Saccharomyces cerevisiae S288C: one gene and its partner. The protein of the gene in region 1 binds, or shares a complex with, the protein of each later gene. Each region holds a gene or a part of one and is shown on either strand. Other genes may lie near its edges. A codon is read from its position in the direction of its gene.

Evidence for each region.
Region 2: the proteins of TSR2 (region 1) and RPS26A are in contact, whole or in part, in an NMR structure (PDB 6G04), measured with the Saccharomyces cerevisiae proteins. Residues at the interface, in NP_013539.4 of Saccharomyces cerevisiae: Ala30 (codon at 1,031), Arg31 (codon at 1,028), Glu33 (codon at 1,022), Leu34 (codon at 1,019), Ser37 (codon at 1,010), Met38 (codon at 1,007), Tyr41 (codon at 998), Asp58 (codon at 947), Glu61 (codon at 938), Lys62 (codon at 935), Asp64 (codon at 929), Trp65 (codon at 926), Thr67 (codon at 920), Gly68 (codon at 917), Ile69 (codon at 914), Asp72 (codon at 905), Leu84 (codon at 869), Glu87 (codon at 860), Thr88 (codon at 857), Tyr91 (codon at 848), Asp95 (codon at 836), Glu96 (codon at 833), Glu129 (codon at 734), Tyr132 (codon at 725), Trp135 (codon at 716); in NP_011326.1 of Saccharomyces cerevisiae: Arg100 (codon at 15,527), Pro101 (codon at 15,524), Arg102 (codon at 15,521), Phe103 (codon at 15,518), Asn104 (codon at 15,515), Arg105 (codon at 15,512), Asn107 (codon at 15,506), Lys108 (codon at 15,503), Val109 (codon at 15,500), Ser110 (codon at 15,497), Pro111 (codon at 15,494), Ala112 (codon at 15,491), Ala114 (codon at 15,485), Ala115 (codon at 15,482), Lys117 (codon at 15,476), Ala118 (codon at 15,473), Leu119 (codon at 15,470).

Annotation. Positions count from the first base shown.
Region 1 is NC_001144.5:1,004,857-1,007,495, reverse strand, and holds TSR2 (Tsr2p), read right to left. Parts: upstream 1,119-2,639; coding exon 501-1,118; downstream 1-500. Other genes in the region: ECM30 (Ecm30p), read left to right, coding at 1-75; CNA1 (calcineurin catalytic subunit A), read left to right, coding at 1,488-2,639. UniProt on the Saccharomyces cerevisiae protein: Required for 20S pre-rRNA processing.
Region 2 is NC_001139.9:132,765-150,465, forward strand, and holds RPS26A (40S ribosomal protein eS26 RPS26A), read right to left. Parts: upstream 15,825-17,701; coding exon 15,465-15,824; downstream 1-15,464. Other genes in the region: GCN1 (Gcn1p), read left to right, coding at 1-6,779; YGL194C-A (uncharacterized protein), read right to left, coding at 6,955-7,197; histone deacetylase HOS2, read right to left, coding at 7,604-8,962; YGL193C (uncharacterized protein), read right to left, coding at 9,152-9,463; IME4 (mRNA (N6-adenosine)-methyltransferase), read left to right, coding at 9,482-11,284; COX13 (cytochrome c oxidase subunit VIa), read left to right, coding at 12,044-12,433; protein phosphatase 2A regulatory subunit CDC55, read right to left, coding at 13,045-14,625; YGL188C-A (uncharacterized protein), read right to left, coding at 16,060-16,200; COX4 (cytochrome c oxidase subunit IV), read right to left, coding at 16,940-17,407. UniProt on the Saccharomyces cerevisiae protein: Component of the ribosome, a large ribonucleoprotein complex responsible for the synthesis of proteins in the cell.

The DNA of each region.
Region 1 (2,639 bases):
AATGACAATTATAATAATAACGAATTTGATGATAATACACAGTTAAGATATACCTCTAGAGGGTTGTATAGATAGACACAAATTTTGACAATCACAAAGAAGAAAAAAGAAACTATTTACATATTTAAACATCTACCTCATGATTATTTATGTACGAAAATTTATAATTTAGTATAATTTAGTATTTTTTGCTTCTTATACTTAGCTTTAACTTAGCTGAACGATTAGACCTTAGCAAACACAAAATATAAAAATATGAAACATAAAAAATACACATGTTGAAGAAAAGTAAAAATCTTCACGTAGCGATGCATTGCCCACCTTTTAAATCTATATTGAAGATCTCCTCTAGAAGTCCAATGTTTAATACGTAACTTTCTTGATATATATTACATATTTTGGATAACTCCACCGAGATTTATCTAATTTTGTTGCTATTTCTTACTGGAAGTGCAAAAAAGCAGCGCACTATCAATTATAATATACAGATTTTGAAGATACTAGTGCTTTCTTCTTCCTTTTGGTTGAACCAATTCAAAACCGTCTTCGTCAACAATTGGTTCAGGTTTAGACGATACTAAGTCAGGTACAACCTCGTCCATCTCTTCATCTTCATCTTCGTCATCATAGTCCTCTACATCTTCATCGTCTTCATCATCATCACCCTCAATATGCACAACTCTTTTTGATTTTTTAGTTCTCTGCTTTTCTTGCCATTCCAAATACAATTTTTCTACCTTATTATAATTTAAATTGAAACAGTCGTTATATATGTTGATGACCTCCACGGCAATCGGTAAAGCCGAGTCGTCTTCAACATTAGTTTCAAATTCATCTATCATTGCATAAAGTAACGTTTCTTCGATTAAAGCGGCGTCAACAACTTTTTCATTTTTGAAAAGGTCTACTACAATCCCTGTAATCCAGTCTCTCTTCTCAGCTGAGTCTGGACCACCCCAACTGTTTTCTACGGCAACATCCAACGCATCCCACTTATAAATAACCATGGAAACACCGAGCTCAAAACGTGCCTGTTGCTTTTCGTCAGAGAACATTAGATTGGTTTTACCTTGCTCAGCCTGAACAAATGCTGTCTCATCAATATATTGTGTGCTCATTGTTCCGTAAGGATTATCACTATAAAAATTTTTCGCAGATTTCTTTGGACTCCACCTTTCTTCCTGTTGCAATAAATACAAACTGTTTGAATCATTTTGATATTCATCTATATCTATTTCAAAATTTTTCATGTCATCGCCTCTTGAAACATGAATTTTCCAATTCTGAAAAAGAACGTACTACTGGGAAACAAAAGGGAAAAATGTATAAATCCTTTAATGTTTTTGAATCAAGAGGCATTATTATAAAAGAACGAAGCAAAGCCTTTAATATTTGCTTTATTAAAGGTATTATTCAAAGAAAAGTTTTTTTAGATTCTTTTTTTTTTGACGTATTAGCTCAGCTGCCATAAAACACTCTCAACGCCAATGTCGAAAGACTTGAATTCTTCACGCATCAAAATCATTAAACCTAATGACTCTTACATAAAGGTTGACCGGAAAAAAGATTTAACAAAATACGAATTAGAAAACGGTAAAGTAATTTCTACTAAGGACCGACCTATCGCTTCTGTACCTGCCATAACAGGAAAGATACCAAGTGATGAGGAAGTATTCGACTCCAAGACGGGATTACCTAATCATTCCTTTTTAAGAGAGCATTTCTTTCATGAGGGTCGACTTTCTAAGGAACAGGCCATAAAAATCTTAAATATGTCAACTGTAGCATTGAGTAAAGAACCCAATCTACTAAAACTCAAAGCGCCAATTACTATATGTGGTGATATTCACGGGCAGTATTATGATTTATTGAAACTGTTTGAAGTTGGCGGTGACCCCGCCGAAATCGACTATTTATTCTTGGGGGATTATGTTGATAGAGGTGCATTCTCTTTTGAGTGTCTGATTTATTTGTACTCCTTGAAGTTGAATAATTTAGGGAGATTTTGGATGCTAAGAGGTAACCATGAGTGTAAGCACTTGACCTCTTATTTTACTTTTAAGAATGAGATGTTGCACAAATACGATATGGAAGTTTACGATGCTTGCTGCAGATCATTCAATGTCTTACCATTAGCAGCTTTAATGAACGGACAATATTTTTGTGTGCATGGTGGTATCTCTCCAGAGTTAAAATCAGTAGAGGATGTTAATAAAATTAATAGATTTCGAGAAATCCCATCTCGTGGTCTCATGTGTGACCTACTATGGGCCGATCCTGTCGAAAATTATGATGATGCAAGAGATGGTAGCGAATTTGATCAGAGCGAGGATGAATTCGTACCTAACAGTTTGAGGGGTTGCTCTTTCGCCTTCACTTTTAAAGCATCATGCAAGTTTTTGAAGGCAAATGGTTTGTTATCTATTATTAGAGCACACGAAGCACAGGATGCTGGGTACAGAATGTATAAAAACAATAAAGTAACAGGCTTCCCGAGCTTAATAACCATGTTCAGTGCGCCAAACTACCTGGACACATATCATAATAAAGCTGCTGTGTTAAAATATGAAGAAAACGTCATGAACATCAGGCAGTTTCACATGTCTCCGCACCCTTACTGGTTGCCTGATTTTATGGAT
Region 2 (17,701 bases), on another chromosome or scaffold:
AAATCTGCAAAGGGCTGTCCCCATATATTGGTAAAGAAGGTAATGAAGCAGCCTTGACTCTAATGCTTAACGCTTTTTTTGTTCATTATTTTAGTCTGGGCAAACCTATTGAAGACTTGGATAAAATTATATCAGCTGGTTTTGCAGATAAAAAACCTGCTTTGAAAAAATGCTGGTTTGCCGCATTTTTGAACAATTCCAATGCTGCCTCTGAAGAGGTGATTTTAAACTTTATAGACGGTTGTTTGGAATTTGTGAAAGACTCCATCATACATTATCAGACTCACGGGCATGCATGTATTCTAGCATCAATTGAATTTACAAACAAAATTTTGGCATTGGACAATACTGAGCTAAATGATCGTGTTATGCAGCTCATAGAAACCCTTCCTGAAAATTCTTCGATAGGTGATGCTATCTTAACTGCTGCATTATCAACAGAGCTATCCATCGAAAACCGTATTCATGCTGTTAATTTACTACAAGAATTGTTCTACAAGAAACCCGAATTTATTGGGTTTAGCGTGATTGATGCAATTGAAAGGAGAATGCGTGTCCAAGAATTAATACCTCAACAAAATACATCCTTTAAATATGTCACTTCTGTACTACTGGCCATTACGTCTGAGTTACCTGACAAGGAAGCCTCGATAAAGGTATTAATCAATGCTCTGGTCATAGCGCAATGGAATATTTTCAACATTAAGAATGGCTGGGCTGGTTTAGTTTTACGTGCAAGGCTTGATCCAGCTGAAGTTGTCAAAGAACATGCTAGCGTTATCATGGAGAAGATTCTTGAAATCACAGGTAGTTGTGAATGGATAGATACAATTTATGGTGCATGCGGTTTGCAAGCAGCTGCCTATGCAGCATTTATTCAGCCTAATGAGTTCACACCGATCCTTTGTAAGACTATCGAAGCAGATTTAACCGCGGATGATTTCTCACGTTTATCTGAAGAGGACTTCGAAATTTTTGCAGGAGAGGAAGGTGTTCTGGTGGTTGACGTCCTGGAAGAAAGCATGAATAAGAAACTTTCCAATAAAAATTCTAAAGAGTACGAAACTCTAATGTGGGAACAAAAAATAAGGAAGGAGCAAGCCAAAAAGAATGTGAAAAAACTTTCAAAAGAGGAACAAGAGCTCGTTAATGAACAGTTAGCGAAAGAATCTGCAGTTAGATCACACGTTTCGGAAATTTCCACTCGTTTAAAGCGTGGTATTAGATTGGTATCTGAACTTTCCAAAGCTGCTTGCTTAGTCCAAAATGGCATCGCTACTTGGTTCCCCTTGGCAGTCACAAAGCTTTTGTACCTATGCTCGGAACCAAATATTTCAAAGCTAACAGAGGATGTAAATAATGTGTTCTTGCAGCTTTCTCAAAATGTCTCCGAGAGATTAGGTAATATCAGACTTTTCTTAGGTTTGGCGACTTTGCGTGTGCACAATGCTAATGGCATCTCGCAAGATTATTTACAAGAACCACTGGTTGAATTACTTACAAGAGTTCTTTTTAGGATCAAGTTCGTCTCCAACCAAGCAGCAATAGATTCCATCAGTTTGACATATATTTTACCATTGTTGATTAATGTTTTAGAAAAGGGTAAGGCGATTGCATTAAAGAATGCGGACAAGCCTGTTGTTAAGGCTGAGTTTGTTGAAGAAGATGAAGAAGAAGAACATCTGTTACTGGCCATGGAAATTATTTCTGTACACGCTGAAGCTTTTGAGGATCCTTCCATTCCGAGAATTTCCATTGTTGAAGTGTTACTATCTCTTCTATCTTTACCCTCAAAAGCGAAGATTGCTAAAGATTGTTTCAACGCTCTGTGCCAAAGCATATCTGTTGCACCAAATCAAGAAGACCTTGATATGATACTATCAAATTTACTATCACCAAATCAATTTGTCCGTTCAACAATATTAGAAACTCTTGATAACGAATTCGAATTAGAACCTTTTATGAAATATTCACCTGAAGTTTTCATTTGCAGATTTGATTCGGATCCTTCCAACCGCGAGATTGCAGATTTCATTTGGGAGTTCAACAAATTTGTAGTCAACGATGAATTACTAAAAAGCTTATTCCCACTATTCAATCAGGATGATAGTGGCTTGAGATTATTTGCGGCAAACGCGTACGCATTTGGTGCGGTAAGTCTGTTTACCTCTGAAGAGAACTCCTCGAAAGATTACTTAAATGATTTGCTGAACTTTTATAAAGAAAAGGCAAAGCCATTGGAGCCAATTCTTGATCAATTTGGCTTGGTTCTTGTTTCTGCGAGTGAACAAAAAGATCCATGGCAAGGAAGAAGTACCGTTGCTATTACATTAAAAATCATGGCTAAGGCTTTTTCTGCAGAGGATGATACTGTCGTTAACATTATAAAATTTTTGGTCGATGATGGAGGTCTAGTAGACAGAGAGCCTATTGTTCGTCAAGAAATGAAAGAAGCTGGTGTTGAATTAATTACGTTACATGGCTCACAAAACTCGAAGGATTTAATTCCTATATTTGAAGAAGCATTAAGCTCCAGTACGGACAGTGCCTTAAAAGAGAACGTTATTATTTTGTATGGTACATTAGCAAGACATTTACAGCAAAGTGATGCAAGGATTCACACGATCATTGAAAGATTGCTTTCAACTTTGGATACTCCTTCTGCGGATATTCAACAGGCTGTGTCGGCTTGTATAGCACCACTAGTTTTCCAGTTCAAACAAAAAGTTGGTGATTACTTGGGTATCCTAATGGAGAAACTGCTGAATCCAACTGTTGCTTCTTCTATGCGGAAAGGTGCCGCTTGGGGTATCGCTGGTTTAGTGAAAGGTTACGGTATCTCGGCTCTCTCGGAGTTTGACATTATTCGCAACCTCATCGAAGCTGCAGAAGATAAAAAGGAGCCAAAAAGACGTGAATCTGTTGGCTTCTGCTTTCAATATTTGTCTGAATCTCTAGGAAAGTTTTTTGAACCATATGTGATAGAAATTCTTCCAAATATTTTAAAGAATTTAGGGGATGCTGTTCCTGAAGTTAGAGATGCAACCGCTCGTGCCACTAAGGCTATAATGGCGCATACTACAGGTTACGGTGTTAAAAAGTTAATTCCAGTTGCTGTTTCTAATTTGGATGAAATTGCTTGGAGAACTAAGAGGGGCTCTGTTCAATTGTTGGGTAATATGGCTTATTTAGATCCTACTCAATTGTCAGCTTCTTTGTCCACCATTGTCCCAGAAATTGTTGGTGTATTGAACGACTCTCACAAAGAGGTGCGTAAGGCCGCTGATGAATCCTTGAAAAGATTCGGTGAAGTTATCAGAAATCCGGAAATTCAGAAATTGGTGCCCGTACTTTTGCAAGCTATCGGTGATCCAACAAAATACACTGAAGAGGCCTTGGATTCGTTAATTCAAACACAATTTGTCCATTATATTGATGGTCCTTCACTAGCACTAATTATTCATATTATTCATCGTGGTATGCATGATAGATCTGCCAACATTAAGAGGAAAGCATGTAAGATCGTGGGCAATATGGCCATTTTGGTTGATACCAAAGATCTCATCCCATATTTACAACAGCTGATAGATGAAGTGGAGATTGCTATGGTGGATCCAGTTCCAAATACTAGAGCCACAGCAGCACGTGCTTTGGGTGCTTTGGTAGAAAGGTTAGGTGAAGAGCAATTCCCAGATTTGATTCCTCGTCTACTAGATACCTTAAGTGACGAATCAAAATCTGGTGATCGTCTCGGTTCTGCTCAAGCTCTAGCTGAAGTTATTAGTGGCTTGGGCTTGACCAAGTTGGATGAGATGTTACCAACCATTTTAGCTGGTGTAACCAATTTTCGTGCTTATATCAGGGAAGGATTCATGCCTTTGCTGCTTTTCCTTCCTGTTTGTTTTGGATCACAATTTGCTCCATACATTAATCAGATTATTCAGCCTATTCTTTCCGGATTGGCCGATAATGATGAAAATATTCGCGATACTGCTTTGAAGGCTGGTAAATTAATTGTCAAAAACTACGCTACAAAGGCCGTTGATTTGTTGTTGCCTGAATTAGAAAGGGGTATGTTCGATGAAAATGACAGAATTCGCTTATCTTCTGTTCAATTAACCGGAGAACTATTGTTCCAAGTTACTGGTATTTCCTCCAGGAACGAATTTTCTGAGGAAGATGGTGATCATAATGGTGAATTCTCTGGTAAATTGGTCGATGTACTTGGCCAAGACCGTCGTGATAGAATTTTAGCCGCATTATTTGTATGCAGGAACGACACTTCTGGTATCGTACGTGCTACGACGGTTGACATTTGGAAGGCATTGGTTCCAAATACTCCAAGAGCTGTGAAAGAGATCCTTCCAACATTGACTGGTATGATAGTCACTCACTTGGCTTCATCATCCAATGTATTACGCAACATTGCTGCTCAGACCTTAGGTGATCTTGTCCGTCGTGTAGGTGGTAATGCTTTGTCCCAACTGTTACCAAGTTTGGAGGAATCTTTGATAGAAACATCAAACTCAGATTCGAGACAAGGTGTTTGTATTGCTCTTTATGAGTTAATTGAATCGGCTTCTACGGAAACGATATCACAGTTCCAATCTACCATCGTTAACATTATTCGTACGGCATTAATTGATGAGTCGGCTACTGTCAGAGAAGCGGCTGCATTATCTTTTGATGTATTCCAAGATGTTGTAGGAAAAACTGCTGTTGATGAAGTTTTACCATATTTGTTGCATATGCTTGAATCTTCTGATAATTCTGACTTTGCTTTGTTAGGTTTACAAGAAATTATGTCGAAGAAGTCCGACGTAATCTTCCCAATTTTAATTCCAACCCTATTAGCCCCTCCAATAGACGCCTTCAGGGCTTCTGCTTTAGGTTCTTTGGCGGAAGTTGCTGGCTCAGCCTTATACAAGCGTTTATCAATTATAATCAACGCACTAGTGGATGCAATCATAGGTACTTCTGAAGATGAATCGACCAAGGGTGCATTAGAACTTGCATTAGACAGGGTATTCTTATCTGTGAATGATGACGAAGGTCTTCACCCATTACTTCAACAGATTATGTCACTACTAAAGAGTGATAATATAGAGAAACGCATAGCTGTTTTAGAACGTTTGCCAAATTTCTTCGATAAGACTGTTCTTGATTTTGATGTCTATATTCCGAACTTTGTCTCTCACGCAATTTTATCATTAGATGATGAAGATCAAAGGGTTGTTAATGGTAACTTCAATGCTTTGTCTACTTTGTTGAAGAAGGTTGATAAGCCCACCTTAGAAAAATTAGTTAAGCCTGCTAAACAGTCATTGGCATTAACAGGCAGGCAAGGTCAAGATGTCGCTGCATTTAAGCTTCCAAGAGGCCCTAACTGTGTTTTGCCTATTTTCTTGCATGGTTTGATGTATGGTTCGAATGATGAAAGGGAAGAATCTGCATTAGCCATTGCTGACGTTGTTTCGAAGACCCCTGCCGCTAACTTGAAGCCATTTGTGAGCGTAATTACTGGTCCATTAATTCGTGTCGTGGGTGAAAGATTTAGTAGTGATATCAAAGCAGCAATTTTATTTGCACTTAATGTGCTATTCATTAAGATTCCAATGTTCTTGAGGCCTTTTATCCCTCAATTACAAAGAACATTTGTTAAATCCTTGTCTGACGCTACCAATGAAACGTTACGTCTCCGCGCCGCAAAGGCTCTTGGTGCCCTGATTGAACATCAGCCTCGTGTTGACCCTCTAGTCATTGAACTGGTGACAGGTGCCAAGCAAGCCACAGATGAAGGTGTCAAGACTGCGATGCTTAAAGCTTTACTGGAAGTTATTATGAAGGCTGGTTCCAAATTAAACGAAAATTCTAAGACAAACATTGTCAATTTAGTTGAGGAAGAAATGTTGGGTAGCAATGACAAATTGGCAGTTGCTTACGCTAAATTAATCGGATCGTTATCAGAGATTTTGTCGAACGACGAAGCCCACAAGATATTGCAAGACAAGGTTTTGAATGCAGATCTAGATGGAGAAACCGGTAAGTTTGCTATTCTGACTTTGAATTCCTTTTTGAAAGATGCACCAACACATATATTCAATACGGGCTTGATAGACGAATTTGTAAGTTACATTTTGAATGCAATCCGTTCCCCTGATGTTTACTTCGGAGAAAATGGTACCATTGCTGCTGGTAAATTACTTTTATTAGAAGGAGAAAAGAGGTCTCCATTTGTTAAAAAGGATGCTGCAGAACCATTCAAAATTGGCGATGAAAACATCAATCTGTTAATTAATGAGTTGAGCAAAGCTGTCTTACAACCAGCCAGTAATTCTACGGATGTAAGAAGGTTGGCCTTGGTGGTTATAAGAACACTAGCCAGATTCAAATTTGACGAGTGCATTAAGCAATACTTCGATGTAGTAGGACCATCTGTATTTTCTTGCTTGCGTGATCCTGTTATCCCAATTAAGCTCGCAGCAGAAAAAGCATATTTAGCTTTGTTCAAATTGGTTGAAGAAGATGACATGCATACTTTCAACGAGTGGTTTGCTAAAATTTCAGATCGCGGTAACAGCATCGAAACTGTCACAGGTACTACAATTCAATTACGGTCTGTTGGGGACTATACCAAGAGGGTTGGTAAAAGGTTAGCAAATGTCGAAAGAGAAAGGATTGCTGCCGGAGGAGACGCGGAAACAATGTTTAGTGACAGATTTGAAGATGAAAGAGAAATATGGGCTGTCGGAGGTGTTGAATTAACCACTGATATTTGAAGAAAATTCAATGTGGTAACCTCGTTACTTTTTGTATTTGATATATTATTCTCGTTATATAATACATACCACATAATGATATAAAAGACAAAGATATTTTGAAGTCTTCCGCTGTGCATAAGGGTTATTTATATATCTATTGCTCCCAGCATTGTAGCTAATAAGGGCTTGATAATTATTCGTACCCGGATTCATAATTGTCAACTAACTGCCAAACCCAGCGCTCTAATAGTGGCGAGACTTGCCACCACATCATATCGTTACGATCTGTATTGGCGATTCCTAAACACCAAATAACTGTCGACTTTAAATAGCGTCTCAGAAATAACTTATAAGAGAGGTTTATTATTAGAACTATCAATAAAATTAGAGCAATAATTTTAAACGGTTTGATACAAGTTATCTCTTTATTAGACATAATTGTCCAGATGTATTACATGAACTGAGTGACTTGCTCTAATGTTGTAGACACTGATGTCCGGTTTAATTAAGAAAGATTTTGGAAGTTTCACGATATCGATAATGCTGCGGGAGAAGCTTTCAAATTATAAGAAAAGGCTTTTTTTTGTTGTTTTCAGAGTAGTTTGGTGACTTGTCCGTTTCAGAAGTGTCTCGAATACGGAGTGCACCTTCCAAAAATGTTTCTGACGGCATCGAAGAGCCGAACTCTTATACAATACATGTCATTTTTAACAATGATGCAAATAACTTTTAAGGCCTTAACACTCTACATAATATGCTAAAAACATTAAAAAAAAAAAAAGGAAAATAAAAAAAAAAAAAAAAAAAAAAACGGGAGATTAACCGAATAGCAAACTCTTAAACTATGAAAAGGCAATCAATCCACTGTTTTCTTTTTCCATTTCTTCTAGCCTATTTGAACTGTCTGCTTCTGTTTCTTCATTCATTTCTTGAATGATTTTATCCTCTTCTTCTGTCAGGGCACTTATATCTTGTGTCGGTATGCATTCAGCATCCATTCTGACACTTGGTGCTCCTTGCAAGTATCTGATATTTTCTAGACATCGTATTCTAATGTCTTCCAGTAGTTTTTTACTGTTTTTGTTTTCGTATAAGTCATCTAACATAGGATAAAGTGAATAATCCGGCCCGAATGAGTCCCGGAATGGGATATCTTCGGGGATGTCTTCTGGTAGCAAGACATCATTTAAAATTCCTGTCTCGTAGGTCCAAAGCCGTGATACATTTCTAGGTGTATAACCTCCACCGCCCACTACTAGCATTGGTAGACCAAATGATTTGACAAATTTTACGCATTCTCCATGTGCCTTTATATTTAAATTGAAGCATCCTAAGCGATCATGACCTAAGGAATCCGCACCGCATTGTTGGACAATAAGTGTTGGTTTGAAAGTCATTATTAGAGGATCTACAATTGACTTGAAAAGGTTTATATATGAGTCGTCATCTATGCCATCTTCTAGGGGTACATTTAATGCGAAATGTTTTCCTTTGTCGCAACCAATTTCTGTCAGATCACCAGTTCCTGGGAAAAATTCGCCATTATATTTATGAAAAGACAACGTGAAGACCCTATCTGTGGTGTAAAATGCCTCCTGGACACCATCGCCGTGATGTAAGTCGATATCGATATAAAGGATTCTTGGGTGATATCGTAATAAGTTCAAAATAGAAAGCACAATATCATTTACATAGCAAAACCCAGATGGACTATTCTTTTTTGCATGATGAAGACCACCAGACCAATTTATCGCTATGTCCGATTGATTGTTGATTAGTTTCCTGGTGGCGTCAAGGCTCGCACCAGTGTATAGTGTTGTATAATCATATAAATTTTGAAAAATAGGACAGTCGTCTCCAATGTTAAAATTTTCAAGTGTGCCTCTGGGCAGTTTGTTTGCATTTTCTGGTGAAACCTTCGAGAGAAAATTCACGTAGTCTTCCGAGTGAAATTGTAGTAATTCGTCTCTGGTAGCGCTTCTTGTTTCATAAAGGTCCATAATCTTGTGCAATCCATAAGAGGAAACTAGGTGATCCGTTAGCATTAACCGAAACGGCTTCATTGGATGCTTAACACCATAATGGTAATGTGAAACTTTGGAGTTAAAATGATACGATACCCTGGGAGAATAAGCAGAATTAAACTCAAATAATGGTTCGTTCTCCTTTGTTTTCACATCATAACTAAATGTTCCAGACATGTTGCGTGTTGTTATTCACTTGATACCTGATTTTAACGTACTTGAGTAATCTGGCGTCTTTTCTATAACTGTACATTGGCGACACACCTAAAACTGATTAGAATCGTTTCAAGATGCTTTCAGTTCAACATTTAGTAACATAGTAGGAATATCACGTTTAACGATGCCCCAAAGAACATCGAGAATCCTCTATATAGAGTATAAACAGGGCATTCTACATTGGTATAGAGGTGCCTTAGGTATATAGTGGTACCGGTCACATAAATTGACGGGAATATGCGTCTTTAGGCGGCTTTTGGCGTACAGTATTGTTCTTTCTTTCGTGCTTGTGAAACTTGTTATAAACAAAGAAAGAGAAAGATCTCCCCGGCATTCTGGAAGATCGGTAACCGCTGGAGCTATAGGAAAGGGAGATGGATAACAGTAAAGAAAACGGACCATATAAGTTAGCATTGGGGGTTTTCGAAAAAAATAAGAATTGGCATTCAGACTTGAATTCATAAAAGTTGTAAGCAGGCTATGATTAACGATAAACTAGTACATTTTCTGATCCAGAATTATGATGACATCCTAAGAGCACCGCTTTCTGGACAGCTCAAAGATGTGTATTCACTGTACATCAGTGGCGGATACGATGATGAGATGCAGAAGTTGAGAAACGATAAAGACGAGGTCTTACAGTTTGAACAGTTTTGGAATGATCTTCAGGATATTATATTTGCAACGCCGCAGTCCATTCAATTTGACCAGAATCTATTAGTGGCAGATAGGCCAGAAAAAATTGTTTACCTGGACGTTTTTTCCTTGAAAATTCTCTATAACAAGTTCCATGCCTTCTACTATACATTAAAATCGTCCAGTTCTTCATGTGAAGAAAAAGTGTCGAGTTTAACAACAAAACCGGAAGCTGATTCGGAAAAAGACCAACTGCTGGGTAGACTGCTTGGAGTCCTGAACTGGGACGTTAACGTCAGCAACCAGGGGTTACCACGTGAACAACTGAGCAATCGCTTACAAAATTTATTGAGGGAAAAACCATCATCTTTTCAGCTTGCTAAAGAAAGAGCCAAATACACGACCGAGGTCATTGAATACATCCCGATATGTAGTGACTATTCGCATGCATCTCTATTGTCCACCTCGGTGTACATTGTCAATAACAAAATCGTTTCTTTACAATGGTCCAAAATATCCGCATGTCAGGAAAATCACCCAGGATTAATTGAGTGCATTCAATCAAAAATTCACTTTATCCCTAATATCAAACCACAAACTGATATTTCGTTAGGAGATTGTTCCTATTTGGATACCTGTCATAAATTAAATACGTGTCGATACATTCATTACCTGCAATATATTCCGTCATGCTTGCAAGAGCGAGCTGATCGTGAAACTGCGAGTGAAAATAAAAGAATACGGTCAAACGTTTCCATTCCATTTTATACTCTGGGCAATTGCTCCGCACATTGTATCAAAAAGGCTTTACCTGCACAGTGGATCCGTTGCGATGTGCGGAAATTTGATTTTAGGGTTCTTGGAAAGTTTTCGGTAGTTATTGCAGATCCTGCATGGAATATCCATATGAACCTACCATACGGTACTTGCAACGATATTGAACTATTAGGTTTGCCTTTGCACGAACTACAAGATGAAGGTATTATTTTTCTTTGGGTGACGGGTAGAGCTATAGAATTGGGTAAAGAGTCTTTGAATAACTGGGGTTACAACGTGATAAATGAAGTTTCATGGATAAAGACAAACCAACTGGGTAGAACAATTGTTACAGGTCGTACGGGTCATTGGTTAAATCATTCTAAGGAGCATTTATTGGTGGGCTTAAAGGGTAATCCAAAGTGGATCAACAAACATATTGACGTCGATTTGATCGTATCAATGACCAGAGAGACTAGTAGAAAGCCTGATGAACTGTATGGTATAGCAGAACGGTTGGCAGGCACCCATGCCAGAAAACTAGAGATATTCGGAAGGGATCACAATACGCGGCCTGGCTGGTTTACCATCGGAAACCAGTTGACAGGAAATTGCATTTACGAAATGGATGTCGAGAGGAAGTACCAGGAGTTTATGAAGAGCAAAACTGGAACCAGCCACACTGGTACTAAAAAAATCGACAAAAAGCAACCTTCAAAATTACAGCAGCAGCATCAGCAGCAGTATTGGAATAATATGGATATGGGGAGTGGTAAGTATTATGCTGAGGCCAAGCAGAATCCTATGAATCAAAAACATACTCCCTTTGAATCCAAACAGCAACAAAAACAACAATTCCAAACACTAAATAACCTATATTTTGCTCAGTAAAGCGTTAAATAATCCTTTTAAACATTAATAGCATTGCATAAAAAAGATGGTCATAAAAAAGACTGCAGCGGGAAGTAAATGGTTTCCTGGTCTGTATTAGACAAACTTTGGAATAGAGAAGGATATGGTTTATGTCCAATAATTATTATCCGAGTCCGTGTATTTTTTTACATCAACTGGAACAATTTATTACCCGGATGTTTAAAAATTGTTGTCGCCTGGAGAAAGCTAATACTAGTTCTGGCCATATTTTCAACCATTAAACACTACTAATGTAATTACTTGACTTATTTGCTCCCACTCTTGGTCGGTTCTTTCCCATGGCGCATTCTACCATTCTTTTTTTCTACTCCAATCGTTCTTACTGGAAACTGTGGGAATAGCGAAGAACGACTATTATTTGCTAATACAGAGTAAGCTATCCTGCTGAATAGGTAGACGATAGTAGTAACCCAACGCCGCTATCCTTTCGATTATACCGCTATGAATGTAGTGATATGGTGCGGTATTGACACAATATAGTAATTTCGGGTAATTTTTTTTCCCACCAATGAGAGGCGGTACTGGGAGTATCGGTCTAAGAGAATCGAAAAATAACCCCCAGCTGGGATGTGATCACGATGAGTGACGGGATACATTAAATATAACAAACATACACGTTGCCTTGAACGTTTTCACTACACATCGCATGTGTTTTATCTAGATTTAAAATCATATTACTACAGTTCTACAGTTATACAAATAACAAACAATAGAAAAATGTTTAGACAGTGTGCTAAGAGATATGCATCTTCATTACCCCCAAATGCTTTGAAACCTGCATTTGGCCCACCAGATAAAGTGGCAGCTCAAAAATTTAAAGAATCATTAATGGCCACTGAAAAGCATGCGAAGGACACATCTAATATGTGGGTTAAAATCTCAGTTTGGGTCGCCCTACCAGCAATTGCTTTAACAGCTGTGAACACATACTTTGTTGAAAAGGAGCATGCTGAGCATCGTGAACATTTGAAACATGTGCCAGACTCCGAATGGCCAAGGGATTACGAGTTTATGAATATCAGGTCTAAGCCTTTTTTCTGGGGTGACGGTGATAAGACATTATTCTGGAATCCTGTTGTCAACAGGCACATCGAGCACGACGATTAATTAATTGATTAAGTGAGAATAAACTTTTCGAAAAATTTTTATTTATGATAATTTTACTAATTCTTACTTATTTCTTTTATATTCGATAAAAAAAATTCAAAATAAAAAAAGATTAATCCTTTGATAGGAACTAAAGGTACTAGGTATTTTGGGCGGCGAAGCATCATTCCGTTCTTAAACATCTATATATATATAATTATATTGCAAATGTATAAGCATTTAAAAACATAAACATGCACCTATGAAGAAGAATTTAAGACGTTTTATTTTTATGTTCCACGCGTTTTGGTGAAGTGATGAAAGAAGTCCTGATAAAGGGATGTCGGATTAATAATTGATACAGTGTTTATAAGATAGCTAATCAGAAAAAAAACGAAAGAAAATGGTATAAGTCTCAGAATAATGATAATAAAACACGCTTGAAGTAGAATAAAAATATAAGTAGAGAAGATAAAATAAAAAAATAAAGATAGAAAGATTTTCAATGAGGGGCAAATCTAAATCTAAAAAATTTGAATTCAAGTTCAATTTAAATTTCAATTAAAACAGTAGTAGTATGTGGGGAAGATATGGGATAAAAAAAAGTAAGGGAAAATAAGGAATTATTATAATTATAATGCGGAAAAAATGAATAAATTATTAGTTGCTGCAACAGCAATACTATTTTCTCTTGGATGCCATGAGAAATGTAAAATATTCTTCTTGAAATCAATATCGTCACCCCAATCCTTATTTCTTGCAGACCTTTGCGCTAGCGAACCGTATCTTTTGTTCCTGAACGCTGTTTTGTCAGCTTGTAACACGATTTCATTCATTTCGGTTCCCGAGTCCTCCGAATTTGCTCCTTCTCCTCCCGCTATACTGCTTCTAGAGCTATTACTACTTCCCACCATGCCTGTGTTGCGTCCGTTACTCCTACGCTTGTGGCTGTTGCCACTACTACTAGAATCTTTATTTTGTATGCTGTTGTGGATATTTTTATTGCTGTTGCTATTAGGTGCGTTGTGTTCATCAAAAGTTTTGACTATGCCATTATCATTATCACCAGAAGTTACTACATTAGGATAGATCATGAAATTGTTATTGTAAGAACCAGTCATTACACTTGAACTATCACCACTAAAATTAACTTCAAATTTATCGAAAATCGCATCGTTTTCATAGGTATCACTCAATCTTTCCTTCAATTGCTCATGTATGTTTATGGTTTTCAAAGGCTTATTATCCATATTTACGTCCCAAATTTTGACAGTTAAATAATCTCTGGATGCAATATACCTACCATTTGGACTAAATTTTATGTCGGAAATTGACGACGTGATTTCTGTAAAAAAATTATGATTGATTGGATCCAAATATTCTTCAAATGTTTTGGTTTTATTGTCACATAGGGAATTTTGTCTCATATCACACAACTTTATTGTACCTTTGGAAGAAGAGTACATGAATAAATTACATTCTTGCGGATGAAATTCAGCGCTTGTGATCACTTCGGTAAGTTCTTCCATATTGGTTGGCTTGATATCTACGATGTTGAAGCTCTGATCTGGTATGTCCAGATTCCATAAATTGATTCTCAAGTCGTCAGCACTTAAAAATGTTTCCTGATCAGAATTCAACGATATCGAATTAATGTGATAGGTATGTGCATTACTATATATACGCTTTGGGGTGGCAGCAATGATTTTGTCATGCTGTGATAATTGAGGCAGTTTCAGCGATTGTAAAGATAATACAGCCCTCACGGAGCCTCCTCTACTGTTATGGTTATCGGGCTTGCCTTTTTTCGCAAACGTAACCCCTTCTGTTAAGTTGTTCTGGCTTACCAATTTTATATTTTTCTCATAAACTTTCCAAAGTTTTATAGTTTTATCATTTGTGCTCAAAAGAAAGTGTGATCTTTGAGTTGGTCGTAACCATTTGATTTCATTTATCTTCTCTTCAATTTCTAAGGATTTTAAATAATCAAATTCTGCGTCATGACTTTGAAACTCTGTTAAAAACTTATATTCGCAATGTCTACTATTACTTCTTTCAAAAAGTACCACACGGCCACCTTTATCACCAGTGGCCAGATAATTTCCAGTATAGTCAAATTCTACAGCTGTAATTAGATCCGCCTCTGTCACCACAATATCTGCTTTATCACCAAAACATTGGCTGAATTTAAAATCAAAATTGTTTTGTGCCATTGTGCGCTATATTATATTTCTTTATGCGTAAGATCTCTCCAGTTTGACCTCGATATGTTGGCTAGATTTTATGAGGTTTACAGTTTATAGAAACACTAGTTTTCCCTTTCTTAATATGTTGGTGGAGTGGGGGTAATCGTATTAAGCTGCCTTATTCACCCTCTGATAGGAATAAAAATCGAAACAGGACGAAAAAAGGGTGAACTAAAATATAGAAGAGAGCCTAATTGACGTAATCGAATTCTTCTAGAATGCGTTTGTATATTCAATTTTCAATTCTTCCAGTCTCTTCGTGGAAAGTTCTCTAACGTAATAGTCTTGTCTTGTGCAAACTCCCTTTATCTTTGACGGGAAATGTTAGGCAAAATTGGATGGAAAAGAGAAAAAAGGAAGGAAAAAAACAAAAAAAATCTACTTAGTTAAGGATCTATTGACGTGCGCGGGGGGAGTATATGCCAATTGTCTCAAAAAAAAAACGTTTATGCCGTGCCGGAATAGAAATAGTTACTGGTCGTTTTCCTATCTGATATAAATCTGAGTAAAACGATTATTGTCTAACCCAATGCAATATATACAGATAGCATTCCGCTCATAGTTAATAATTAACTTCAGACAGTTTTTTTCAATATCTCATTAAAGGGAAGAAAGGGAGGCGAAAAAAAAATCAAAAAAATTATACTTCGTATCAAATTATATTCGTGGAAGGTGACGATAGTAATATTTGATGTTGAACATACTTGAAACATTAACATATTTAATAGAAAACTATTGTAATGGTTATTTTTTATTGATTAGAAATAGTAGAAAAATTTACTTATGTTTCACCTATATTAATCAAGTTATAAAGCCTTCTTGGCGGCATCAGCAGGGGAAACCTTGTTTTCTCTGTTGAATCTTGGTCTTTGAGGTGGAGCTCTGTTCTTTCTGTCTTCTCTGGATCTGACTCTGACAATTCTGGCGTGAATAGCACAAGAAACACAGTAGTGTAACTTGTTGTAAGTCTTTGGCAAAGCGTATTCAGGGTAGACAGAAGCTTCGGACAAATCTCTGACGGCAGCGGCTTCAACAATGTTTCTGATAGCCATTCTCTTGATAGCCTTATCCTTTGGAATAGACTTGGAACAGTTGACACATCTGACTGGTTTGACGTGACCTCTACCTTTCTTGTTTCTACCGTTGGAAGCTCTCTTCTTTGGCATTTTGAATGATCTAATTAAATATTCATCACGAGTATTGCAGGTTTGCAAAGAGTTAAAATAATTAGTTAGTAACTTCTCAATTTTTTTAAAATGATCGTGGCAAAAAGGGAAGGAGATATTTACGTAACATTTGAAATTTTCTCGGTACAATATTCTTCAATAATAAGTACATTGCATACGATGGGCGACTTCCTTCTTTTTCTTTAGTTAGTGTGAACTCATGATTGGCACACTTCTAGTGATTAACTGGTTTCCTTTCAGAAAACAAGTTACATTTGCCATGTTTTAATAATATCTTGTCACTATTACTTTCTCCCAATTCAAAGATCTCATCGTTCTTCCCTTCTCTACTTTCACACTTTTGTGTCGTTAACATACTACTTAAGACTATGGTTCTTTTATCTGTAATAGCGAACAAATTAAATCATTTACTATAACGAACATTAAATCTAGTAGGTATTTCAAATACCAAGTAATCCCTCAACACTCAATGAGAACGAAGCGGTGTAAGCTGACACTTCGAGTTCCGCCTATGTTACTGGATATGAGCCCTCCCCCCACGAAGGTTTTTTCCTTCCAGAGCCGAGAACATCTCCCAAGGAGAACGAAGCAATACCGGTAAGCTGCTTACCGTCGGGGCAGGGAAGTTCAATTCAACTCCCTGTGCCGAGAATTTACTTTTTTCGAAAAATCGACGTCTTTAAAAAAAGAAATCAGTATGTATGGGTGGGTGTATGGATGCTGTAAGCACAGTCTAGAATCTTTTGGAAGTAACTTCGCAACAACCTCTAGCTAGCCATCTCTGACAGAGATAGAAATAGTAATCAGTTATGACATGAATAGTACTAATATTAATAAGAATTTTTAAATAAAAATATATCTCGACCTTTTCTCGATCTTTTTGGTTATGTATTTTTTGGCTCTTCATTATAGATAGAGCAAAGCGTTCGCCTTAACCTTCCTGCAAAGAACTTTCTTGTGGAACTTTGTTAACATGACGTGTGTAAAAGCTCAGACCTGGTAAGAATATTCGCTAGGTTTCCAAAAAAAAAAATATAAATAAAGAAGAAGGTAAAAAGTAAAAGAGAAACAGAAGGGCAACTTGAATGATAAGATTAGTGATGGTGGTCATCATTTGGAACACCAACAGGGTTTAGTTTGTAAACAGAACCACATTCCCAGCATCTGGCGACTTCGTTAACAGTTGGTTTTAACCACATAATAGTATGTGAACCAGCGGGAGAACCCGTACAACCGACATAACGATAATCATCATAAGATTCAATGATGATCGGATCTTTCATGGTACCCTTCCTGGACGAATCTAATGGTTTGGTGTCGAAAACATCGATACCCTCTAATTTACCCAATAATTCTAACCTAGCTAAACCAGTTTCTTGATCTAGGTCTGTTGGAACGGTACCCTCTTTAGCACCAGGACCAATCAAAGTTTCTGGACCATTAACTTCTGCTAAGTTTTGGGCAGTTTTCACCACGGGTTTTTGCTGAAGCAGATATCTAGAGCTACACAAAGTTCTTGTGGCTGGCTTGAAAAATCTTATAGATTGACGTAGTGAAAGCATTGTGCTTGTTATCTATTTGTATGGCAACATCAAAATCGAAATGGGTGAGTATTGTTAGTATACTGTTTCTTCAGGGAGAAGAATACGTTGACTAAAGGAAAGTGACAGGGAATATTTCGCATCGAATTCTTCATTATATGATGGACAATTTGGACAATTATGCAATTATCGTCTCAAGCCAAATAGAAAAGCAGGGAACGAGTTAAACTTGCAAATAAATTTTTTCTTAAAGTCAAATCCAGATTTGTTTTCTCTTAGTTCTTTTCCGTTTCGTTCGATCTGTTAAATATCTTC